Drosophila melanogaster: one gene and its partners. The protein of the gene in region 3 interacts with the protein of the main gene of each other region in a pairwise test. Each region holds a gene or a part of one and is shown on either strand. Other genes may lie near its edges.

Region 1 (3,275 bases), on a different chromosome or scaffold from region 3:
AATTTTTAAACGCGAGGGAGATCGAATTTATTTGTGAACCCATATATTTATATTTACTTTTTCCATATAACCATCTGGAAGTTTTCGAAGAATACAGCCCATGTAGATTAGTTTGATAAACAAAAGCTGTATATCAAAGGGTTTGGAAGTTGTGGGTGGGTGTCTGACGGAATAAAACAGAAATAAAATCAATTCGAAATTATGATATAAAAATTTCCTTCGCTAATCCATGGACACGGTGTCAACAAGTTTGTCTCACCACATTGGACTTGGCTTCATGCGACACATAAACCAACTTGTTGAATCTTATTGCACGCCTTTGGAGCACACTTTTGCCCGATTTAAACTGGTTTTATGTCTCATATTTTCATCAATTAGTGAACTTAAGCAAACCATACGGCTATCGAATATGTGAATTATAATTAAGCCGAAGCAGTGAGTCCACTAAATGTTTTTTCGAGCGCTTCAATTAACTTTTTGCGGCAAGACCAGGGGCAAGGGATTAGCGGATGCTATGCACCCACTTCCAACGCGGGGGAAGCACATACTGCGATAATTATTGTTTAGCCCAGCATGTGCCATGTGATGACGACGTTGTCTGCTTCTGGTTAGCTGGCTAGGAGCAGTCATTCTTTATTGAGCGAGTAGTGCCAATGGCAAAAAATGACAATTGAAACTCAACCGACCGCCAAAACGATTACGCGAGTCAAGCCCGCGTCTACTGCCGTCCATAGACGTTCTCATCGGTATAGGAAATGTAGAGGAAGTAGTCCTTGTCGAAGTGCTCCTGGTACAGTGCACCCATGGTGGCCGATGTCGGTGGGATCACATTGTTTACGAAGAAGAAGAGGGCGTCGTCGGGACGCAGATTGATACGCTTGCGGATGAGAAAGTAGAACTGGCCCACTGTCAGGTCCGCCGGCACCAGGTACTTCTTCTTGTCCAGCTCCGCGTAACGCGTCTTCGGCGCCTTTTCCACGATGACGGGCACACGGTCCGGATACTTGCGCCGGATCTTGTCGCCTTCGTTGCGGCGCTTGTCGAACGAGTGGTCCTTCTTGTACTGGTAGTTCATATCCATCTGGGCGGACTGGAATACGGTTCGAATCGAAACGGAGCGAAAAATGGGTTTTCGTTTTGGATTTGGTACGAAGGTCTTATGTAGCTGCCGGCCTGAGTTGCTGGGAACTATGTATGATTTATCACCTTTACTGCACAGATAGCTTTGGCAGATAGAAAAGTGCCTGCTCTTCTCGGATTTGAATGGGAAATGGGAGAGGGAAAATGTGATTGTAATCAGGTTTAGTATTCATTCCTATTCATGGAAAAGTATATCTATACCTTTAACCAATCAGGAACATACGAAATTTGTTGGAAATTCTAAATTAAAGAAGAACTACTTATATATGAGTGCCAAATTTCCCTAGGGGCTTTCATGGTGCTTACACACATATTTCTTGTATCGTTTTCATGCATCGCTCCAATTAATTAATTTGAAGTATCCCATTACCGTTTAAACTGTTAATTGTAATTGTGTCCTTGGAATCGCACTACGAATGTGCTGTGCAGGACTCCTCGGGCTAGAAACTTTCCATTCCATACTTCACTGGCGCATTTATTTTATATATTTTCATTGATTTAATTAAATATTTTGTAATACGACAAAAACTATATAAATCCCTGCAGTTGGCACCGCTCTATGAACCTTTTTTTGCAGGCCGCCCCAAGGCGACAATTGGCCCAAAGACGTTACAATCAAGGCTCCCAAGGCGCTGACCACAAGGGAGCTCAACAAGTGTATGTGCTGGGGGCGTACAACTGCGAAAGCTTTTACCTGTACCGACCGCAACGGCAACAATGCACGCAACACACGCAAAGCTGGAGCAGATGTGTTGTTGGGCTCCGTCGTCGCTGGCTGCTCGTCGCTCGGACAGCGCTGGAGCTCTCATTCCGCCATAGCTGCTGGAGCTGCTCGGTTGTTCGCGTTCGGTGCCTCGGCAGTTCAGTTTGTCGTTCTACTTCACAGTACTACTACTTGGAGCAGTTCGTGCATCGCTGGTTTCCGGTTGTGGCCTGGGCGTAATCCCTTGCAACAGGTGCACTTCAGTTCGGACGAAGACAACTGCAAAATACCTGGGATATTTACGCTTCCGGTGAGCAACATGTCCAAGAACGGACCCTTTCGATTCGTTAGAAAAAGGCGTGTGTGTGAAATAATCTTTCGGAAAATCCATTATAATTCAGAGTTTATACGCTCATGTGATGGTCGAAAAAATTGTTAGTCCCACGATCTCTCCTTTGATGTGTTGTGTGTGTTTGCTGAAAAACCAGGCCATAAAGTTATCAATTTTCATTTTGCCCAAAATTGATTCTTGATTTTAGTGGCGATTAGCCATAAACACGGGCAACTAATCTATGTGTGCCTGTGTACTGATTGTGTGCGGCAATTGCTAATTAAACTCACGGGTGCGAAACAAATCACCAATTGTATTCCACAATCCGCAAAAGTAATCGCCCTAATGGTGTTGCTTTAGCTCACCTAGAAATGTGCAGTCCAGAGCCCATTCGTTTGTGAGATGATCTGAGATTCGATAGAAACGTACGGATTTTGTGATGTGGTTACCGCATACCTGCTAATAAGTCCATGCTAATAGACTTCAAAAATCAGAGAGATTTCTTTGACTGGATAGATAGAAACGGCCATGCGCTTTCTAAACGCACAAAATACAATTTTAAAACAAATTAAAATGCACTTTGTTGGCTTGGAGACACACACACACGAGTTTTTGCGGTCAGCCAACTGGCAAAAGCTAATTTGATTTATAAAACAAATGCGTATCTGTTTTCTCCTTTTCTCGTGAAAAGTGCATAAGAAATAACAGAGCAATTAGGTAGGTAGGTAAAAATTGAAGCTTTTCTGGCCACTGAACTAGAACATTCTAATTTGATTTATATGAACAATATTGCGACTTGCGCCTAATAAACTCAAACTGACTTGTTTTACCATGTTGTTAATGCGGCAATTAACAATAATTCGTTAAAAACGACACCATAACCGTTTTTTTTTAGGGTCCAAATATGAGAGCATTGCGTTCACTGGACCAGAATCTTTGGCGTTCCTCCCACTTAATCGTGTCCGCCTGGTTTAATTACTCCAACTTGGTGTCCGCCATTCAAAGGGGAATTAGTTAAATGGAATGCAAGAGTCGTCAGAGTGGATTTAATCCAATTGAACGGCTGCTAACTATTCGGTGTTGATTCGAAATACAAATAAT
Region 2 (3,757 bases), on a different chromosome or scaffold from region 3:
TTGCTAGCTGGCCTAGACTAGACGATCCGTTCTAGCCAGGGGCTCATTAGTTAGCCTTAGCCAAATTATTGGCAAACTGGTTTGTCCAATTTTTTTTTTTTGGAACAGGAAGCGGGTGCCAACATAGTGAATACGAAATGGGCAAAAACTGCTTGTCGCGAATGCCACCCCTCTATACACTAGTGTTCTATCGAAATTCGTTATCGTCATTGGCCGAACTCAAGGCACAAGTATGAGATGTGCTAGTACGTATGTATGTACTAAGTATATTCTATAGAATTCGGATATATATGGATATGCTGGTGGTCCGAGCGACCAGCTGGCCTTGCCCCTCGCTCAGCTGTTATGTGATTTGTGATTTGGCACTGCTGCACTTGCCAAAAAAAAAAAACACTAAAATAACACTGGCAATAATATTTCGGGGGTGCATATATAGCGCACATATGTACATATTTGTACATATATACATATGCATATGCAGTCCGAATCAAAATCGAAAACAAGAACTGCACTTTTCGCTGCGATTGGGGCACCTTCAGCAGTTTGTCGTTTCGTTTCGTTTGGTTTTGTTTTGGTTTTTGTGAAAGGAGTTTTCGCTGATAACGTGGTGAAATGCATACATACATAGCAGAAAAACAACAAAGAAGAAGCAGAAGATGTTTTTGTTTTTTTCAACCTTTCTGTTTTCCATTTTTTTTATTATTTTTGTTTTGTGTTCAGCAGCGCATCTATGACTAATTCCAGTCGCACTTTGTGTATTTGCGAAAAACAAAACAAGCAGCGCTAGTATAAGTGTGTATTAGTGAGTATTAGTGACTTTTTTTATGCGCAGTACTCGCTCGTTTTGCCAACAAACAAACGAAATTAAAATCGAAAACAACTGGTTGGTGCACACACAGAAAAAAAACGGGGTGGTCAAAACTTTGCTTGTAACTAAATTATGATGACAGATAGATATATGCGATTTTCTTGCTGTGTAGCCAGAGGGTGGGATAGAGGAGAGGAAGAGGTGGCACAGATGAAATCTAGCACTGAAAACAACAACATCACAACAGCTGAGCAAGTGAAACGGCTGCTTTGTTCTCTCCCTTTTTTTGCTTTTGTTTTTTCCTGTCGACATCTGTGTGCCTGTGTGCGCGTGTATGCGTGCGTATGTGTGTATGCAGGGGGCAGAATTTTCGTTTGAATTTCTTTTGAGAGCTTGTCGCCTGTTCCCCCCACCAGTAATGCAAAATGCACTTTATGCAATACCCATCGCACAAATTTCCCCAGCCACCTGATGTGCCAGTGCAATAATATTGTAATAACAATCGAAATACCCAATATGCGCAGTATTGATTTTCTTCGGTGCAAACACAAAAAAAAAGAGCGAGAAAAAAAACGACGCAAAACAAACGCATACACAGAAGCTCGCACATACACACACACTCGCACGCATATATACACACACACACACGTCTCTTTATACCTATATGCATTTATATATATATTTTTGAGTACTTACGGGCACACGGTCTGGATATTTGCGACGGATCTTGTCGCCCTCGGCGCGACGCTTCTCGAAGGCGTGCTCCTCCTTGTATTGGAACTTCATGATTGCAATGAAGAGGTAATTGGCTAAGAAACGCAGCTTCTATCACTTCGTTTGCTTTTGGGACTGTGCCGAATATCGATGCGTTGCTGAGCTTGTGTTTTTCTCTTCTCTGTTTTCTCGTACAAACGGTACGAAATACTTGTGTAGAGTGACCGTGCGCAGCAGTTGACAGAGCGCTTCGGTCTAAAAATCGATGACTTGCTGGTTTTATCGATAAGCACTCGCACTGTGGTGACTGCACTCGCTAACTGCTGTGGCTAGACTGACCGTGTGTGACCAGTGAGCGCGCAGAGACACCAACCCGAAACGCGCTAATAGTGGTGGCATATTAGACAGACACCATTTGGTTCATGTATTCGCTAAATGTTATCGGATGCAACCATGTGGTTCATGTGCTCGCTAGCAGACGGCTGTCGATATGGTTGTTGTACGCGTTAAATGGTATACACACCTACGGTCACACTGCACATATAACAGTTTTTCGCCGCAATAGAAGAATCCCTATTGTGCCATCGATATTATCGATATCACTAACTGTCATCGATGGATTGACGCAGCAGGCGAGACGAAACGTTAATTGTCAACTGTTCCCTCTGGCTGCTTACACACATAAATACACATCGCACGGAAGAAAAACAAAAAAGAGAAGGATGAGCAGCCAGGGACACCATAAGATGTCCGGCGGCGGCAAGAAGGGCGCCATGGAGCAGGACTACACCGACGTGGTCGATCTGGGCGATCGCTTCTCAGCGGACATGGCGCGCCTCTGCATGAACGAACAGTACGCGGACGTGGAGTTCATCGTCGAGGAGGAGCGCATACCCGCCCACCGCGTCATACTCGCGGCACGCAGCGAATACTTCCGGGCGCTGCTGTACGGCGGCATGGCGGAGACCACACAGCGCCAAATACCGCTTGAGGTGCCGCTGGAAGCGTTCAAGGTGCTGCTGCGCTACATTTACTCGGGCACACTGCTGCTGTCCACATTGGACGAGGATTCCACCATCGATGTGCTGGGCATGGCCAATCAGTATGGTTTCCAGGATCTGGAGATGGCCATATCGAATTATTTACGCCAGTATCTGGCCTTGGACAATGTCTGCATGATTCTTGATGCGGCGCGTCTATACAATCTAGAGGAACTCACCGAGGTTTGCCTAATGTTCATGGATCGCAATGCCGGCGACCTGCTGCTGCACAACAGCTTCAATACGCTATCCAAGGTAAGTTCACAACCAATTGGTAAAGTTGGCACTAAGAGTATGTAATGCTTACAGGAATCGCTGGAGGAGGTACTACGGCGTGACTGCTTCTTCGCCCCCGAGGTGCAGATCTTTTTGGCCGTGTGGAAGTGGAGCCGCTTCAATAGCAACGTGGACTTCAAGTCCGTGGTTAGTTATGTCCGCCTGCCACTGATGAACCTCGAGCATCTGCTGCAGGTGGTGCGTCCCTCGGGCATCCTGGATCCCGACAAGATTCTCGACGCCATCGACGAGCGCAGCACTTCAAAGGCGCTGCCCTACAGGGCGGCGCTCTGGCCGGAGGAAAACGTGGCCGCGGAGACGTTTTTGTCGCGCTGCATCCAGGGAGAGTGTCGCGACGCGCTGCTGGATGGAGATGTGACCACCTATGACATGGAGAACGGGTATACGCGCCACTGCATTACGGACAGCAAAGATGCGGGCATTGTGGTCGAATTGGGCACGTTCTGCATGATCAATCACATTCGCATGCTGCTCTGGGACAGAGACAGCCGGGCGTACTCCTACTACGTTGAGGTGTCCGGCGACCAGCAGCATTGGGATCGCGTGGTCGACTACAGCGACTACCACTGCCGCTCCTGGCAATACTTATACTTCGAAGCACGACCCGTCAGATTCATTCGACTGGTGGGCACCCAGAACACTGTAAACCGGGTAAGTCAGCAGTGATCTCTTCAAACTTTCCCCATTCTTTAACTTTTTCCCTTTCCATTAATATATAGGTATTCCATGTTGTGGGTCTGGAAGCCATGCACACGGCCAAGGTGCCGCGTTTAGTTAACCATTTTGTGGCGCCCAAGACGAACGTGGCCACCGTAGAGATGAGCGCCATTGTGACGGACGGCGTGAGTCGCACCCGCAACGCGCTTATCAACGGCGATTATGTGCGCTACGACTGGGA
Region 3 (3,757 bases):
TGATCGACTTATGAATTATAGAACTCAAATACTTCTGTTATCTAACACATTTTCTCCCTGTGCATCGGTTGGACTTTCTGTGACTACGGTTACCCTTTTGGCCAATTAAGGCGACCAGATTTGTTGGCCACGATCGAAGCGGGGCAGCCAACTGACTTTATCTGCCAGATACACATTTGGCTGAGTTCGCGTTGCTGCAGCATCATCAGCTGTTCGCTGTTTATGTTGTTGTCTGTGGCTTTTGTTTTTCAATTTTTCTTTCATTGCCACAGACAAACAACTGGCCAGACTTGATTTATCATCCGCGACGGTTCTTCCCATTCGTTTTTGGACCCCTACTCCCCACCCCTCCGTTTCGATCCAGCACCTTCCGTTCTTTAGAGGTTTTTTTTTTAGCTCTTCAGCTCGAAAAATGGACAATGGACAATGGCAACTGCAAGACCTGTTCTGCACATTTGGCGCATGATTCACTTGGGTTTTTGGGCCTGCTTTTGTGGCTGTGGAGCGGCAAGGTTTCTCCTCGAAATGCTCCCTATTTTCGTTTGCCTCTCGGATCTCAACATCTGAGCAAATGTTGGCAGGCATCCAGGAGATTTTTTTTGGCCATAATATTATAGTTGAGGAAATAATTGCAAGGCTAATTAAGATGTTAATCAGCGAAACATTCATTGCACTTGCCATCACCAGTTGACACTCCATGAACACACAATGATTGCACAAAAAAAAATATATAACTCGATCGTGGGGCAAAGTGCAGCAGCTAATATGTAAGTCTGAACACAGAGAGAAATTTTTCTAAAAAGAGTATGAGAAATTCTGAACGCTTTATGTTAGCATTTAATTCTATACACTCATTATTCCAATAAGCTCTACATTAGATGGTTTTAGGCAAATTTTTAGCAGTGCACTCAGCTGGGAAATGCCAGAGATCTGAGATGTGGCACGGATCTGATAACGATCGCTAAAAATGCTGAAAACGTGATGCAAGTCAAATTTATGGCTATTAGATGCCCAGAATGGAAATCCCCTTAACAAGAAACTCGGCCGATTTGCAGCCAAATACAATTTGGGGGAAAATCGGTGTTTGTGTGTGTGTAAGTGCATGTGGAGATGGAAAACTGTTGGCCTGGCCGAAAGCCAAGGAAAACTCACACAGCCGCAAAAGTGTGAACTCTTTGGATGCGAAGGTGCAATCAGAATTTTTTCCTGCTTTTTCGTATGTATCGCTGGGCTGCACTTTGGGATGTGTGTACATGTAAATCGGCTTGCAGCAGAACTTTTGAGAAACATATCTGAGCATGTGTTGGTGCGTGTGTGAGTGTAATGTCCTTTCCTTGGAGAAGGACTTCCGCTTCAGTATTTTTCTGCTTTTTTTCTTTGGGGGGGTTAAAACTGCACTTACTTGCTGCGCGGAGTTTATTGATCGATCGGTGTCGGAATCTACCCGTATTCTCTGCAATAATTTGCACCAGCAAGGCTTTTTACACAGTTTTCGAAATGTTTTTTAATTGGCGTGCTTATTGTTTTTTGTGCTGATTACTTCCGTTTTTGCTTAACTGACGGGGGTGAGAGTGCGGAGAAGAGCAGCGCTACAGGAACTCCGTGACGTATGCTAGCAACAACGACTGACGAGCGAATGATGGCAGAAGGTCTACAAACTGGCCAACCAAGCTGGTTGCCCCCCTATCTGTGTGCCTCTGCTGTTCGCTGGTGTTGGTGCGCTACCCATGTATTGGTGGCTCTACAGCTGAGCCCGACACACTTACCCTGTTTCTGCCTCTTTCTGCTGCTGCGCATGTGCAAGAGAGGCTCTTCGGATGCTCTATCCAAATCGAAAGTAACTCAGCTATGTCACTGAAGTAAACACATTGTATTGTACATTAACAATACCTTATACTTTGGCTAAATAGCTAGGACATTTTTACAGTCTATCTCTTTGTGAAAACCTTTTTATCAAGGTCTTTAAAAAGTAAGTGCATTTAAGCCGAATTCTTTTAAACTGTTAAACAAACTATTATATGCATTGTCTTAGCTATTAGAGAAAACTATTGCATTTTGTACAATCATATATTTTTTATAAAATTCTATTTAGTGTATTAAAAATCTAGTCGGTGTAGAGCATTTCACAACGACTATATTTCCTATTTTAGTTACTTTTCGTATTTGGCAAGCCTCTCATTTTCTCTTCAGCAGCTGATTTTGTTTGTATACAAAAATCATATTGCAATATATATATACTGAAAAGGAGAGAGAACAAAAGGTAAATAAATACAGAGTGGAAAAGGGGAAGAAAGAGATGAATGGAAACGAAAATGGAAGTGGAAAAAAGCCACAAAAGCTTAATTTGTGGTTTTTAAAAAAGTTATAACTTATATGCATTAAAGGCAAAGTCATAAAAACTAGAATTTAATATGTTTTAATATATTTTGTGGTTTTTAAAAATTTATGTACCTGATAATTGATACAACAGCGCTACAGCATATTAGGGAAAATAAGGACATAAGGTGTAATTAAATAATATGACACATATTTCTATACAGATAAGTGTCTTTTACATAGAAAGTATATAAAACTATTTAAAAAACGAGAGTAAAAAAAAAACAATTTTTAATCTTGGCGGCTAAATAACTAAAAATAAGCCCTGGTCGATTAATTTATTTGCGCTATCGATAAGAGCCCGCTGAAAAAAATCGAAGAAAAATCGGGCAGTTTTCCAGCTCTAGCAAAAACACACGTGTTTACGTTTTTAGCAAATTGAACGCAATTTCTTTACTTCTTTGACTTTTTCTGGTATTACTTAATATCCGACTACCGAAATGGGCAGAAACAATCGCTCGAGAAAGCGTCGTGATGAAATGAATAAGATAAAGAAGGCGCGGTACGAAGCCAAGGAGTTAATTCGACTGAAGAAAACTCTGGGACTCCTAGATGCCGATGGAAATGAGATCATGAAGGATATAAGCGATGTGGTCGAAATTAAGACCGCCAAGGAGCTCAAAAGGGTTAGTTATGTGATATACCCACCTACAAATATACCAATTTACCTAATGTATTATATGTATTGTATGCATGTAATATGCGAAAAACCGGCTTAGTTTATCGCGATACTACCTTCATTCTTGTTACGTATTTTATATCCTTATTAAAGAAGAAATTGTATTCCTAAAACAGGAGGCCAAATCCAAGGAGGAGCAGGAATTGATCTACGAGCACCAGGAGAGTCTGGAGAAGGGCGAGAAAGTCAAGGTGACCAACGAGAACACGGGCGTGGAGCACATTTTCAACAGCAAGACCCTCAAAGATCAGTACGGCAATTATCCTGCGTGGTTCAAGAAGAAGAAGACCGCCAAGCGTCTAAGAAAGAAGCAGCACTCGCAGAAGAAGAACTTCAAACAGGCCTGGACCACGGTTAATGTTCCCCTATAAATCCGGGGCTGGGTTACCCATCTGGTATCTTATCGTAGTTTATAAGTCCTCGCTTAGTTTAGGAGATTTTGTAGGCTTTTTCTACAAAGATGTTATAGCTAAGAGTATATATTGCATATTAAAGCCCAAACAAGTTCTGAAAAACCCAGATATAGTCTGAACTTCTCAACATGGCAATCAAATAGTATCATTACTTTTTTAAAGCTACGAGTTATTATTGCATATTAAAGCCTTAAAATCTACACACATTTGCGGTGTCATGTGAACAACAAGTATCCAACGCTTAAACTAAAGTGCAGTTACATTATGCTCATTAGCTCTATTGCACGTG

Evidence for each region.
Region 1: the proteins of TP53INP (region 3) and Atg8b interact in a two-hybrid assay, tested with the Drosophila melanogaster proteins (2 studies listed by BioGRID).
Region 2: the proteins of TP53INP (region 3) and Atg8a interact in a two-hybrid assay, tested with the Drosophila melanogaster proteins (2 studies listed by BioGRID).

What each region holds. Positions count from the first base shown.
Region 1 is NT_033777.3:17,723,830-17,727,104, forward strand, and holds Atg8b (Autophagy-related 8b), read right to left. Parts: upstream 1,235-3,275; 5' UTR 1,082-1,234; coding exon 719-1,081; 3' UTR 581-718; downstream 1-580.
Region 2 is NC_004354.4:10,766,477-10,770,233, forward strand, and holds the start of Atg8a (Autophagy-related 8a), read right to left. Parts: upstream 1,863-3,757; 5' UTR 1,595-1,862; coding exon 1,505-1,594; intron 831-1,504; exon of another isoform or gene 692-830; coding exon of another isoform or gene 677-691; intron 181-676; exon of another isoform or gene 1-180. Other genes in the region: BTBD9 (BTB (POZ) domain containing 9), read left to right, coding at 2,245-2,817, 2,872-3,510, 3,579-3,757.
Region 3 is NT_037436.4:4,405,030-4,408,786, reverse strand, and holds the start of TP53INP (tumor protein p53 inducible nuclear protein), read right to left. Parts: upstream 1,643-3,757; 5' UTR 1,403-1,642; intron 1-1,402. Other genes in the region: CG15019 (uncharacterized protein), read left to right, coding at 2,817-3,002, 3,172-3,426.